Linked DNA regions of Notamacropus eugenii. The protein of the gene in region 1 interacts with the protein of each later gene in a pairwise test. Links are inferred from orthologs where the notes say so. Each region holds a gene or a part of one and is shown on either strand. Other genes may lie near its edges.

Evidence for each region.
Region 2: the proteins of ABI3 (region 1) and EVL interact in binary tests that used the Homo sapiens proteins (3 or more experiments, as listed by UniProt). The link is inferred for Notamacropus eugenii from reciprocal best matches to the Homo sapiens genes ABI3 and EVL.

Annotation. Positions count from the first base shown.
Region 1 is NC_092873.1:351,666,039-351,673,267, reverse strand, and holds the start of ABI3 (ABI gene family member 3), read left to right. Parts: upstream 1-4,209; 5' UTR 4,210-4,566; coding exon 4,567-4,683; intron 4,684-5,174; exon of another isoform or gene 5,175-5,250; intron 5,251-6,013; exon of another isoform or gene 6,014-6,172; intron 6,173-6,263; exon of another isoform or gene 6,264-6,559; intron 6,560-6,638; exon of another isoform or gene 6,639-7,229. UniProt on the Homo sapiens protein: May inhibit tumor metastasis. In vitro, reduces cell motility.
Region 2 is NC_092872.1:355,478,098-355,485,768, forward strand, and holds the start of EVL (ena/VASP-like protein), read right to left. Parts: upstream 3,022-7,671; 5' UTR 2,761-3,021; coding exon 2,738-2,760; intron 1-2,737. UniProt on the Homo sapiens protein: Ena/VASP proteins are actin-associated proteins involved in a range of processes dependent on cytoskeleton remodeling and cell polarity such as axon guidance and lamellipodial and filopodial dynamics in migrating cells.

The DNA of each region.
Region 1 (7,229 bases):
CAGTCACACATGTGAAAGAGGTGGAGGAAGGAGAAAAGGTCAATTTTGGTTTGAGGCTTTTCCCCCCATCTTGAAAAATGTGGGTGACAATCATGGGCTAATTAACCCCAATAAGTGTATTTCGTGTTCCACAAGCCCTTGAAAATGATTTATAGGGAGACTCCTAGGAATTTATAGCCAACTGCCTAACTCATACTATGCAAATGTAGCCCCCAAGCAAGTCCACCCTAGTCCTTACCTGTGTATGTGCCTATGTGTAGTGGTGGTGGTGGGGTGCTGTCCTGAAATTTTCAAGAGGCATCTGTCTCAGTCCTGGACACAATATTGCCTGATCCTCTTCTTTTCCACTGAAGATTTCTCTGTCAAAGCAGCAGATGGTCTTAAGGCACAAACCTCTGATCCTTAAGCTGATTAATAGACTTGAAGTAATAAGCCTATTAAGAGACCTGAGCCCCCACTGGGAATGGAAAGGAATTGATACCTGTCCCAAACTAGCACACTGATCATCTCCAAATGAGTCACTGAGGATGCTTAGTCTACAGAAGAAAAGACTGCTAACACATGATTGGTGCCTTCGAGTATTTAAAGGGCTGCATCAGACTTGGTCTGCTGGACCAGGGTGGAAGGTTCGAAAAGGTCAATTTGAACTTCATATAAGAAAAAAGCTCCTAATACTTAGAGACACTCAGAAGTGGAATGTGATGCCTCAAGGGGTAGTAGATTCCCTGTGATCAGGGTCTTCGGGAGGAAGGTTTGATAACCACTTTAAGGGTCATTGTAAGGGGCATTCTTAGTCAGATATATATTGGCCTTTAGTCTCTAATGTCCTAACTGTAGGATCCTGTAACTTTGGATATCCAAGTGACTTTAGAAACAACCTAAGTGATCTTCCTGCTTCCTAGTCCTACCCATCACTTTGTCGTTGTTCAGTTGTGTTCAACTCTTACGATCCATTTGAGGTTTTCTTGGCAAAGATACTGGAGTGGTTTGCCATTTTCTCTTCCAGTGGATTAAGGCAAAAAAAAAAAAAAAGATTAAGTGATTTGTCCATGGTTACACAGCTAATAAGTATATGAGACTGAATTCAAACTCAGGTATTCTTGACTTCAGGACAGCTCATCACCAGCTGTCCCAGCCAAGAGTCAAGAAAAACCTGAGTTTCGAATTCTGTCCTCATACTACTTACTTAGCTGTGCTAACCTTTGGCAAATCTTTAATCCCTTTTTACTCTTTTTTCTGCATCTTAAAATCAACTGGACAGAGAAATGGACAACCCACTCCAGCTATCTTTGACAAGAAAACCCTCAAATGGGGTCATGAAGTCAGACATGACTGAAACAAGCAAATAACAAAATTCCTGACTCTAGGTCCAGTGCTCTGTCCACTGCAGCACCTAGCTGCCTCCTCCTCCTAATTCTGATTCCTCCAGGGTTCTGGTTGCATTAACTCTTATTCCAGCTCAGATTCTCCAATTTTTCCTCTCATCTTGTTCTTTTGAACTCTTCCCCCCTCTCCTCAGCTCACCTCTGAATTCTCTGCGCATCTAGCTAACCTGCACTAATATCCTTCCAACCCCTTAGCTTTCTTAATCCTGAGCCTTCAAACAAGCTTTTTCCTGAACTGAGGGCAAAAGGAGAGACAGAGAAAGCCATTCCCTTTTCCCCCACTTCTGTCCTGCTCTTTCTAGCCCTGCTTTAAATAATAACTAATAATAGCTAGCATTTATACACTCCACAGATGATCTCATCTCATCAGTCTCCATTTGGTACATTCTCTTCCTCCTCGAAATCTTCCATGATTACTCCCACCTAACTACAATCACTCCTCTTTAGGGTCATCTTAGCTTTTTTCTCCAGTTTGCATTTCATTTCTTTGTTTCCCTAGTTCTATTTCTCTCTGCCTCTTTCTCTGTCCTGGGTGTATGTTCATAATTCTGGGGTCAGGGACCATATATTTATTTTCCTTTGAGTCTACTCCCAAGGGTTCTCAGAGTTCTCTGCCTTCATGCTCACTTCATCCAGGGTTAGACTCCAAAAGTAGAGGAAGGCAATCTAAAAATGTGCGAGGGTCCTTGAGGGGTCACCTTGTCCATCCCTTTGCTTTTTATCTGGGTGGCAAAACCAATCTCGATTCGCTCTGGAGTTAAGGAGGAATGGAAATGGTGAGGAAGCTTAGCTTCTTTCCTGCTGTTGGGAAGACAGCAAATCAAAATTCAGTACTTAGCATGGTGCTGATGATAATAACATAGTTCCTGACTTCAAGGAGCTTACGTGCTACTTACATGCTTCTGGGGGTGGGCAGAGCAGAGGAGCTACATGTACATGACTGAAATACAAGATAGGGCCTTATATGGACCAAGGAAAGATCCAGACAAAGTACTCTAGAACACTGAGGAGAGAAGACTTTTACCTGGAGAGGATCTGAGAAGGCTTCTTGGAAGAAGGTATTGTGAAGAGTTTTGAAATAAGAGAAGAATTTGGAAAGGAGGAGATGAGAAAACAAATTCGTTCCAGGCATGGAGAAATGCCTGGACAAAGTCATGGAGGTAGAAGGTGTAATGTCAAGTTTCGGCAAACAGCTAAAGTCATTCTCTTTGACTGGAACATAAAGAAAGTGAAAGAGATTAAAAAGACTTTAGAAAACCTTGAATGTCAGGGGGAGGAGCTTTCTTTGTATTCTAGAAGCAAAGGGGACTACTGAAGTTGTGAGCTGGTAACATTGTAATATTTGTGCCCTAGGAAGATAATTTTGGCAGCTGTGCCGAGCACAGGGTTTTAGGGTCTACTGTCCGCTCACATGCATAGAACGTTAAGGTTGGAAGGAACACTAAAGGAATTCCCGTCCCATCCTCTTATTTTACCAATGAAGAAACATGCCTAGAAAGAGGAAGACTTACCCAAAGTGAGTTCAGTCATTTTTTTTCTCTTGTGTCTGACTCTTTGTGACCCCATTTGGGGTTCTCTTGGCAAAAGTACCGGAGAGGTTTACCATTTCTCTAGCTCATTTTACAGATGAGGAAACTGAGGCAAACAGAGTTAAGTGATTTGCCCAAGGTCACACAACTAGGAAGTGTCTGAGGCTAGATTTGAACTCACAAAGCTGAGTTTTCCTGACTCCTAGGCCCGGTACTCAAGGTCACACAGGTTAATATTAGGCAGAGCCAGCATTAGAATCCAGAGCTTTTAACATCTGGCCCAGGGTTCCTTCCTCTTTACCACACTGCCTCCCTGAAATGGCAAGTTTCTGCTAGAATTAGAATATGTAACCTCCAAGCACCATGAGTATGTTTTCTCTTGGCCCAGCAGAGAGCAACGGACTCAAAGTCAGACAGAAGACCTGGGTTCAAATGCTACCCTACCTCATCCTACTTGGACATGTCACTTAAATTCTCAGTGCCTCAGTTTCTTTAACTGTAAAATGAGGGAGTTGAACAGAACCACTAAGGTTTCTTCTAGCTGGAAATCTGTGATCCTATGATCCTTTATTGGGCACAGAGAAGTGGGTCTCCACCCTCCATAATAATAATGCTTCAGAGACTTCATGTAACTCCTAGAGGATTCCTGGGCTTTAATTTTGATACCCTTATCTATTTCCATTCCATGAATCTCCATTCAGTGGAGACAAAAAAACAGCATCCTTCAGCCCCGCACCCTTACAGACTCCTAGCTTTTATCCTAGGGACAGCTAGATAATGATGTGCTGGACCTGGAGCTGGGGAGATCCAAGTTCAAATCCTGCCTCAGACACTTACTAGCTATTTGACATTAGGTAAGTCAGTTAAACTCTCTTGAGGCAGTTTCCCATCTACAAAATAGGGATATTAATAGCACTCAATTCACAGAACTACTGTGAAGATCAAATGAGATAACACATGTAAAATCCTTTGCAAACTTTTAAGTACTAAGTGAATACCAGCTATTATTATTTATTATTATCTCCAGGTCCTAATCTTCCCAGCTTACCAGCCCCCCCAGTGACTCATCTCTGAGCTTGCCAAGGAAGCCCCCACCCTCTGCCCTCTTCCCATCTCCCCACCCCCTTAAGTGGAAAACACACACACACACACACACACACACACACACACACACACACACACACACACACACACACACACACCCCTCCCCCAGCAGTAGGACCAGCCTCTTCCTCCTCAGCCTCCCAGCTCTCTCCTCCCTATCCCCCCTCCCCACACACATATACACACACACCCTGGCTTCCTCTCTGGGGCCTGGGAGCAGATTCAGCTTTGGTTTCCTCAGAGGGGGGTAAGTTTAGGAGGGAGGGAGGAGTGACACCCAATTAAGCCCCTGCCTCACCCTTCCCTTCTGGCCAGGGGCTGAGTGGAGTCAAGAGAAGGCCAGGGGAGCAAACATCGGCTTCCTCTTGTCTGGGAATGAACCTCCCTCCCCTCCTCTGGCCAGGTTTGTTTCTGTGGCCCCAAAAGAGAAAGCCAGCAAGAGGGAGGGCAGGTAGAGCAGCCAATCAGAGCCCAGGAAAAGCACAAAACCAGTTGGTAGCTCTGGGTGGCCGCCAAATGAGAGCAGGGTGGCCACAAACAGGGGGGCCATGACTGAACTGCAACAGCTCCTGGAGTTTGAAATCCCCGAGGGCCAGGAGGCCCTCCGAAGCAACCACAGCAGCCTCCTCAGAGTTGCTGACTACTGTGAAAGCAACTATGTTCAGGTAAGTAGGGCTCTCTCCAACCTTCCTCCCATTGATTGCACTGGCTCCCTAGTATTTGGATGCCTTCCCCAGGCAAATCTCCAGCCCTGGCTCTGAGCTCTTCCATCCCTGATACTGAGCGCCTTTCCATAATCCTGATTCCCGTCTCTAACACTGAACACCAACTCCCATCAGTCCCAGGGGCTGGGCCATTTGAACCTGCTTTCTGTGGAACCCAGGGTGGGGGAGACTCAGCCAAAATCATTACCCCTATCTAAAAAATTCTCCATTTCCATGCCCTCCGCTTCCCCAATCTCTACCAGCACAACGCTTGGTCCCTATAGCCACAGAGCCCAACTAAGTGCATCCTGAGTTCTTCCTTTGAGAGGTGATACCATCTTAAACTATGTCCTCACCATTTTACACTTTCTCTCACCTCCTGACCTCCACCCACCCAGAGAAGAAGAGGGTTGGAGGTAAGGCCTCAGGAAAAACAAACAAACAAACAAAACCTTTTCACTTTTTCTGGTAGGCATAGGAAGTCTCTGGGACAATGAATTGAAGAAAGTCGAGTCAATCCTAGGAAAACTTAAGACAAAGAAGAGAAGACAGGTTAGATTGCGTTAGTGTGGGACTCAGAGGCAAGAAATTGCAAAATGATCTCTGGGAGGGACCTGCCAATTAAGGGAAAAGATTCTGGGATTTTCACAGTTCTCTGCATTCGGAAGTTATCCAAGCATCTGGCTGCTACTATAAGGAACTTGGCTAGAGCTATCTGCCTTCCCTGGATCTCTTTCCCCAGTTCCTCTCCCAATTGTAAGCCAAAAGAAGCTTGCCACTTTGGTGAGGGTGCAGCAGAGGGACAAGATATCTTTTAGGGAGAGCCAGTGGAAGGACATTGGGGAGAGCAAGGGCTCTGTTGAGTATATGCATATGGGAGAGATAGAATGATGGAATTTCTATTCATACTGACATTGTATCATACAAGTGGGATGCCACATGGTATGCAAAATAGCACCTGTTTTGGGGCCATCAATGAACAGTTTCACCCTTACTGTAATGTGAGGTAAGTCCATGCAGTTCAACAAACTGAGGAGAAAGCCTTGGCTTTGGAGTCAGGAAACCTTGGGTTCAAATCTTGTGTCTGTTACATGGGTGACCTGTGTCTGATTTTCAATTTCCTCATCTGTATCCCATGAGAATAATGGTCCCTTCTGCTTCTGAATCCCTTCCTTCTGGAGATCTCATTTTTCCAGAGCGGTTCTTTTTTGCCTTACTGGGAAGGAGAAAAGGAAGGAGGAGGCATGTTTCAGATTAAGAAACTAAAGTCAAGAGGAAGGAAGCAACTCACTCAGTCAGCAAAGGTATCCAAGTCCAAAGTTGGGGTTCTTAGAGACTCCAGGGCTCTGGGCTCTGCAATCCAGTGAAGTAACTAGACTTTCCAAGTTGTTTTTAGTTTCTAGTTGTTTTCTTTGCATTGTCTGGGATCCTTACAGACTGCTTCATCAAGCTGGGGGGAAGATAGGGGTGGCTGGTTAAGGCCGTTATTTAAAGAGCCCCTGGCCCACCCATGTCCTCTGCATGCTTCTCCCCAGTCTTACCAGGTGTCAGGAAAACCACAAGAGTAGCAAGGAGGAGATGGCAGGGTTAACCACAGTTCTGTAGCTCATTTCTCAGGATTGACTGACTTTCCTGATCTGGAGAAATTAGTGTGACTTTTCTTTTGGAGGGGAAGAATCTTAAACTCCATGATAAGGGTCTTCCTGATTCCTCTTGCCCCATCCTCTTCCCACACTTGACTCCAGAGGATTCTTCCTCATCAGCTAAAGCCAGAGTCAGGGTTCAGGGATGGGGTCCAGCCTTTACCCTTCCAGGATTGAGCCCAAACAGCTGTTTCCTGATCAGGATTAGAAGAAATCTTACAGACTGTCTGTAAATTCAAGCCAGAGTCAGCTTGAGCTCCTGAGAATATTTACCTCAGAAATCATGCCACAAATTGGGGTTTCATTCATTGTTTTGTTGATTGTCTAGACTTAAGAAAATTATGGATAAAATGTTAGTAATGCAGTTTTAACTTATAAATATATCCTGGATACATGTTTTTTTTTTTCTTTCCAGAGCACTGTTTGTTAATCATTTATCACCACACTCGTGTTGGTAGATCCTGTCTTTCAAATCCTATGTTTTCTTTTTCCTTGGAGGCAGTTGGGGTTATGTGACTTGCCCAGAATCACACAGCTACTAAGTGTCTGAGGCCAAATTTGAACTCAAGTCCTCCTCATTCCAGGGTCAGTGCTCTATCCACTGTGCCACCTACCTGCCCCCAAACCCTATGTTTTCAAGAAGAAACTAAGACCCAGAAAAGTTTAGTGACTTCCCCAAGGTATTCAGTATCAGAGCTGAAATTAAAATTTCTATACTTATTACACAATGCTCTGTACACAGTTAGTGTTTAATAAATGTTTAACACCAAAAGCAAACATTAGGAATAAGTATAACAGCTAGCACTGATACAGTGTTTGCCGAATACTTTACATATACAATCTCTTTTTATCCTCACAACAACG
Region 2 (7,671 bases), on another chromosome or scaffold:
AGACTCATAAAATCTTTGAGCTTAGTAGAACTCAGAGTTCATCTAATATGATCCATCACCCAAATCCTCTCTATACAATCCCCGACAAGCACTTGAAGAGCTTTTGCAGTGATGAGAAACCCACTATCTCGAGAAGCAGCCCATCCTACATTTGTATTCCTCTAATTGTTCAGAGGGTTTGAAGGACTATCATTTGGAGGAGGGACTTGTTCTGGTTGGCCCCAGAAAGCAGGAGCAGTGGGTGGAAATAGCAGATTTAGGTTTGAATTGGGGGTTGGGGGAGGAAAAAAACCCTCTGAACAATTAGAGTAATACAGTCCCTTCTCACACCAATGTCTTTTGTCCTGCCTCTGTCTTCTCAAGGCTAAGCACGCTAGCTCCTTCAGTTAAGATTCATTCAGATTGATTTTGGCCTCTTTCTTCTTACTGGTAGCCCTCCCAATCTCAAACCAATCAACATTGTTTCTCAAATGGGTTGCCTAGAACCGAGCACAATTCTCCAGGTGTAGTCTGATCAGGGCAGAGTGTGTAGAGAACTATTTCCCCAGTTCTGGGCACTAGGACTAAATCCACTTTATTGCCAGGACCTTTAAGAGTGGAAACAGGTTTGAATACTACATTATATGCATCCCTTCCCACCCTCCTCCATCCCCCAGCCAGTATGGTATAATGGAAAAACTCTAGGTTTAAAGTCAAAGGATCTGGGTTTGAATCTCCACTCCACCATTTATTCGCTATTTCCTGTCCCTGATAGTCATTATCTGTGTAACCTTGGGCAACAAGTTAGACTCGAACTAGGTGGAGTTAAACTAGATGATCTCAAAAGATTCTTTCAAGTTCTAAAGTGACTAAAAAAGTGTCCCTAAGTGCCTAGCACAATGCCTATTACACAGTAGGTATTTTAATAAATATCTGTCAAATGAGTTCCTGTTATCATTGAATGGACTGTGGTTAACAATGCTCTGGCAACTGCAGTTACACAGCATTCTAACGGATTCCAGGAACACCCCTTCACTCAGGCCAAAGAAACCTGCTGGCAAGTGTGAAATGCCACCAGTCCTCATTTCTACCATTGCTTACAGAAAATAGTCCTTGAAGTATAAGACCAGAGTTTCCTCACCATCTATGACCTCTTTCTACCCATAAGAATAAGCCTTTCCAATTTCTAACTTTAAGGAGCAAGCCTCTTAAACACAACACAAACTGAAATCCTTGAATCTTAAGAGCCAAGTTTATGGAAAGACATCTATAGCCCAACCTTGTAACTCATTTTCCTTGTCTGTATGAAAAGGGTTCCTCCCTCTTTCATTCATTCCCTCCCTCACTCTTATAATTATTATATCTACTAAGGTGGTTGTTTTGTGATTATTTTAAATAAGGGGATAGGGTTGTAGCATTTTGGGAAATCAGATAAGGGTTTTGTGATGATGGCTGTAAAGCCGTCAAGGAGACCCTGTAGATTGGAAACAAGGGACTTGGATTCATCTTAACTTTGCCATTTCCTGGGTGTACACCCTTAGATAAATTACTTAAACTCATTGAACCTCAGTTTCCACATCTGTCAAATGAGGTAATAGATCAGATAATCTCTAAGGTCCTTCCATCTCGGTCATCCTTTCTTCTATGGTTCCATCGTCCCTGCTTGCACTGTCATTCCATGGTCTATGATTCTAAGGTCCCTTTCTTGCTCTGACATTTCATATTGTGATTCCAAGGTCCCTTCTTATTCCAACATTCCATGTTCTATGATTCCAAGTTTTCTTCCAGTTCTGACATCCTGAGTCACTAGTCTTTCCAGCTGTTTTAATGGTTTGGCTTAGTATAAAAATAAAAAGTAAATCATTCTCAGAAAACCAGAGGCTAGTAGAGGTCAGGAATCCCAGCAAACACACTCCTTCATAAGCTCACAAGAGGTGGCACATAACATAGAATCCATCTGTTTGCCTTTTCAGCCCTACCCTCCTTAATTTTCATTTCGCCCAAACTACCCTTCCCACACTGATACTCAGAGATGGGTTCTCTGAGGAAAGAGGGGGCAAGTCAGCCTCACAAAAGATGCTAATTTGGAACATTAAGAACTGCAGCAGCAGCTGAACCGCTTACAAACAGCAAAGAGAAAGCCTGCTTAGGGAAACCCTTCCAACAGGCTTCACCCAGAGCTCCCCAGCCAGGAGATTATTATTAAAAATAACAAACATCTGATGAAGTCAAAGCCAAATCTCAGCTCTGCAGACTTGCCAAAATTCTCCGGCTTCAGCTACCACCATTAACATTCTTCTCATCCCCCACCTCCCCACTTTATTTATTTATTTTTGAAAGGAGCATCATTCTCTCCTGGGTTTGACAAAGGGTGGACCGATGTTGGGCTGCTTGGTATTCAGAGCCCTACACCGGCATCCAGGTGGATCTTAATCAATTCGTGCAACGGAAAAATCAGTTATCTGGCTATCACTTCAGCCTTCACTCAGCATCCTTTCCCTGGATCCCGGGCTTTCCATCTCCACCCGCACCCCCCAACCCTAATCTCCCCAAACCAAATCTCCCTCTAACCCGCCAACAAATACCGAAGTCAGCCCTGCTAGCAAGCAGCAGCAGCGGCCAGATCCCAGAGTGTCATTACACAGCAAACAAGAAGAAAGAAAGAAAAGAAAAGAAAAGACAGACAGAAAGACAAAACACCCAGTAAGCTCAGAACAAAAAGCCAGGCTCGGGCTGATGCAGGGAAGCGGGAGCCTACCTGAATTCTTCAAATGCAAACATGGCCTAGTCAGAGGCAGCTTCCTTGGGATCCACGGAAATCTCCCTGGCACGGAGGAAAACCATTTAGTTAGCGAGGCGGGCTGGCGGCGGCGCGGGTGTGGGAGCGCGAGCAGGAGGCTGGCGTTCTGCAACGTAGGGCCGGGAAAGGTTTTCTGCAGACACACTGGCCTGCGGCCTCGGGCTCCGCCAGCTGCTGACAAGGAGCAGCTAACGGGGAAGGCAGGAAGAAAACCATGTGATCAGCTCAGCAATTCTGATGAATGCAGCACCCTGGGAGCTGCCTTCTTCCACAGCGGTGGCAGGCAGGTTCTGGGCAGGACCCGACTGGGCCACGCGCTCAATCGCAGATCGATGGGTTTCAGCACCACACCTCCCCCTCCAGGGTTGGCATCTCCAAGGGAGGTGGGGGTTGGGGGAGTCCAGAGAGAGAGAAGGAGAAGCCAGCCTTTGTCACTGTCATCTGCTGGGCTAATTGGGGGAATCCAGCCGCAGCTTTCTGGTCTTATTGGGGTAGTGTGGCTAGCCATGGTAGTGGGGGCTGTTTTCACTAGGAGCGGCTACGGACATCCAGCCCGACTTGGAAAAAATCCTCAGAAATCTGGTGCTTCTGCAGAGAGCTGGTCATGTTCCTTCTCTGCTCTTAAACCTTCACTGTCTACCCCCTGTCCCCCAAGTTCAAGACCCTTTCCCTAGGACTCAGCATCCTTTGCAATCTGGCACCACCCGGATGGCGGGAGTTCCAATTTTGCCTCAGAAGTGAATGAGCTGAATTTGCTGTGAGTCTGCACTAGTCTGCGCCTTCTCTGAATCTCAGTTTCCTCGTCTTTAGAATGAGAGGTTTGGACTCAATGGCCTTCCCTTTCCAATCTTTCCTCACCTCTCTCTCCTTCAGCTCAATTGTGCTCTCTGCTCGGAATATTCGCTACGTCTCATTCCATCACTGAATCCCTACTCATCTTTTTAAGTTCAAGAAAAGGCATGGAGGAATAAGAGCACACATGTTGAGAAATGATTGTGTGTACACGTGTGTTTGTGTGATTTTAAGATTCCTCTCAGATCTGACACTCAATGTTTCTATGATCAAGTAGGTATAATTGGATAAGGTCATGGAAAATTCTCCAGAGCCAAATTTCACCATTACTAGTGATGATGATGATAGCCCCACCCCCCCAAAAAGGAAAGAAAAAACTTAGTAAACTTAGAACAAAAACCTAGGCTCAGATGCTAGAGGAAAGCAGGAGTGTACCTGAATTCTTCAAATGCAAACATAGCCTACTAGGAGGCAGTTTCCCTTGGCAATCACATAAAGAATTTTAAATGTCATTTTGAGTTTTGTTTCTTACACCTTTCTTGCTGTCCAACCGCTAAACAAAACCAAAAGCCACTCTGAATGTTGTTTCAGGGTAAAAGAAGATTGGGAAATTTGTTAAAATGTGAATATTTACAAAAAGTCTAATTTTTCAAGAGCATATGGCCTTGAGTTGAGACTTTATTCCGAGCCTCCTGATTGGCCAGGTAATTTCATTAGTATAATCACTAGGTCTAATATCCTAGGAGAGGCAAGTAGGTAGCTCAGTGGATAGAGAACTGGAGTTAGGAAGACCTGAATTCAAATCCAGCCTCGATGTGTGACCCTGGGCAAATCACTTAATCTCTGATTGCCTTACAAAATGGATCCATTGAAAAAGGGAATGGTAGATAAACCACTCCAGTATCTTTACCAAGAAACCCCAAATGGAGTCATAAAGAGTTGGAAACAACTGAACAACACAGTAACATCCTAAGAGAAAATTCAAATGCCAAGAATTAGTGGGAAAATGGGGGGGGGGGGAAGGGAGGGGAATGACATAGTTAGTCAGAAGCAGAGCTGACACTAGTTTTTGACTCCTAAACCAACATTCGTTTTGCTACTCTACCCTTCTTTTCCTCCCAACTCCGCCCTATTCCGGAGTCTCTCACAAACTCACTGCATGACCTCAGATAAGCTGCTACTAGGGGAGATCACAGAATCATTGATTTGGAGTTAGAATGGCCCTTGGGGATCTCCTTGTCTCTCCTCTCATTTTACAGATGTGAATTCTCAGGTGCTGAGAAGTCAGGTAATTTGCCCAAGATCACATAGGTACTAAAGTGACACAAGGTGGAATCCAAACTTGGGTCATTGAACCTTAAATCCATCACTCTTTCTCTAGCACCACTTGGGTCAGAGTAAGAACTTCAAATCTCAAGTTGTCAACCAGCGTTTTCCATGTCCTCCTGGAAAATATACTTTGATGAGGGGTGACCAAGTCTGACCTCCAATGGGGTAGCCATAACATCTGCTTCCATTAGATTGTATGACCTAGTCTAGAAGACAAAAGATTAAGTTTTTATCTCGCCTCTTTTTCTGGGTAGTTTTATGACCTTTGGCAGATTTGGGAGGGTGTGATAGAAGTATGTGAGATGTGCAGCACTTAATTTTTTGTGCCTCAGTTTCCTCTTTTGTAAAATTGGAATATTTAGGAAGTCTGTGGAGGAGACTTCATTCCATGATACTACTACTTAACTCTAACTGGTATAATTAGATTCATTTCCCCAATCCACCTGTTGTCAGATGAATCATTATAGAAACATGATGGAAATAACAAGCAGGGACTGAACCAGAGGCAACATCGATATCTATGGCTAAAAGCCCAGGAGAGAGGGCAAAAGCATCATAGAATGGGAAGGCTCTGGGGCAAGGTGGTTTGAACATAATACAGAACTGGGTACTATTCTATTTGATCTGGGAGACACAGGGGAAGAATCAATTTTTCAGCACCAATTAATCAATTTATTAAGAGCCTACTATGTGCCAGGTACTGTACTAAGTGCCAGGGATACAAAAAGAAGCAAAAGACAATTCTTGACCTCAAGGAACTTACAATCTAATGTGGGATACCACATGAAAACAAATATATACTGAAGAGTTGAAATTTCCTCCCATTCTTTTTTCAAATAATTTCTAGGACTGAAATAAGTAAAATATAAATAAAAACCAGGTCTAAAAGGTAGCAGTTCGCTCAGACAGCTAACAATCTGTGTGAAAAATGTAGAAAACCGTGATGATTTTGATCGTGTCTTCAAATATAAGAGGGGTCATCATGGGGAAGAGGGCCTATACTTATTCTGTATTATTCCATAAAACCAATGTTGTTCAGTTGCTTTCAGTCGTGTCCAACTCTTCATGACCTCCTTTGGGGTTTTCTTGACAAAGATACTGGAGAGGTTTGCCATTTCCTTCTCCAGCTCATTTTACAAATGAGGAACTGAGGCAAACAGGGTTAAGTGACTTGCCCAGGGTCTCACAGCTAATAAGCGTCTGAAGATGTCTTCCTGACTTCAGGCCCAACACTCTATCCACTGCAACACCTAGCTACAGAACTAGGACCAATGAGCAGCAAATTGGAGGAAGGGAGATTTCAAATAAAGAGGAGAACAAAAAACCTGCCTAATAATTCTAGCTGCCCCACAATGTGATGAGCTTCCTCAAGAGGCAGAGGTTCCTTATCACAGGAGATGTTTAAAAGGAGGTCAAGTGGACACTTGGTGGTGATGTGTGGCATCACTGGGCTGTATAACCTTTAAGATTCCTTTGAACTAGAAGATGCTATGATTCTTAAAGTCTAAGTTCAAGTTGAAGTGTATAAGGAATACATTAGCCTGTCTGAGAAACTAATCAAAGAAGCCCAGAAATCCCTGTCAGAGAAGCTGAGTTACTCTGTAAATATAAGACCTATAGTTACAACCCAAAACCCCTTTGCCTCCCCCTCCTCTGCCTCCTCTTTCTCCCAATCTGAATTAGCACCAGTCCATAGGTTCAGGCTTCTCAATCACTTCCCCTAGTGTTTATTCTGGTTTATTTTATTAGACTTACCTAAGAACTGGTCAAAACTCACCAGGCTTTACTGTTATGGAAGAGGGTGCCCTAGGTGGGGTGCCCTATTCCAACCAAGAGCCCAGATCTGTCCTGTTTCTATAATTCTCCCTGACTATCCTTTATTTTGTAAGCATGTCTGTTCAATAAAGATGTTTGCTTTATTGTCTTCTTGGGAGCTTCTTGTTCCCATCTACTGGGTCTGGGTATCACAAACTTTCCTGTATCTGTATTGACAAGGTGCCACCTCATCCATGAAGTCTTTCCTGATCCTTCCAGCTGAAAAGGATCTTTGTCTCCCCCAATTTGTTTAAGAGCATTATGTCTGCATATCTGCCCTACTGCTTATCATACTTGACCTTGTATCATACTTATTTGCAAGCATGGCTTATCTCCTCTCCCCACTTTAAATTAGGAGTTTCTAATGGGCATGGGCCATCACCAGTTTTCTTGATTTATGTCTTGCCTTTCTAGAGGAGAAAGTGAGGCTGGTGACTTTGCACAGCCCTGCTTCACTTAAATCGAAATCACTTTTAAGTCAAGACATCACCCTCCTGACATCATTGGTTCTCTTTGAGCACAAAGGACAAGCAACAATAATTCTAAAGGGCAAAGACTACATCTTATTTTATCTTTATGTGTCTAATATTTAGCACAGGGCTTGTCCATAGTAAGGACTTAATAACTATTTACTGAATAGAATTCTAGTTTTTAAAATCATGGAATCTCAGATTGGAAAGGACTTGAGAGGCCAACAAGTCCATTCTTTTTACAGTTGATTTCATAAATTGTCATCTAGCCTTTGCTCAAAGACTTCAAGTGAAGGAAACCTCCCGCGTTTTCTCATGCAACTTTAGAAAAGTTATACTTGTTAGGAAGTTTTTCTTTTTCTTTTCTTTTTTCAAAATCCATCTTAGGTTGGAGAATCAGTCTTGTAAATGAGCATTTCTGGGTAGAATTGTCTAAAAATAATAAGTTCTCTCCCAGAGTGTTGAAGTTGCATAGAATATAGACTA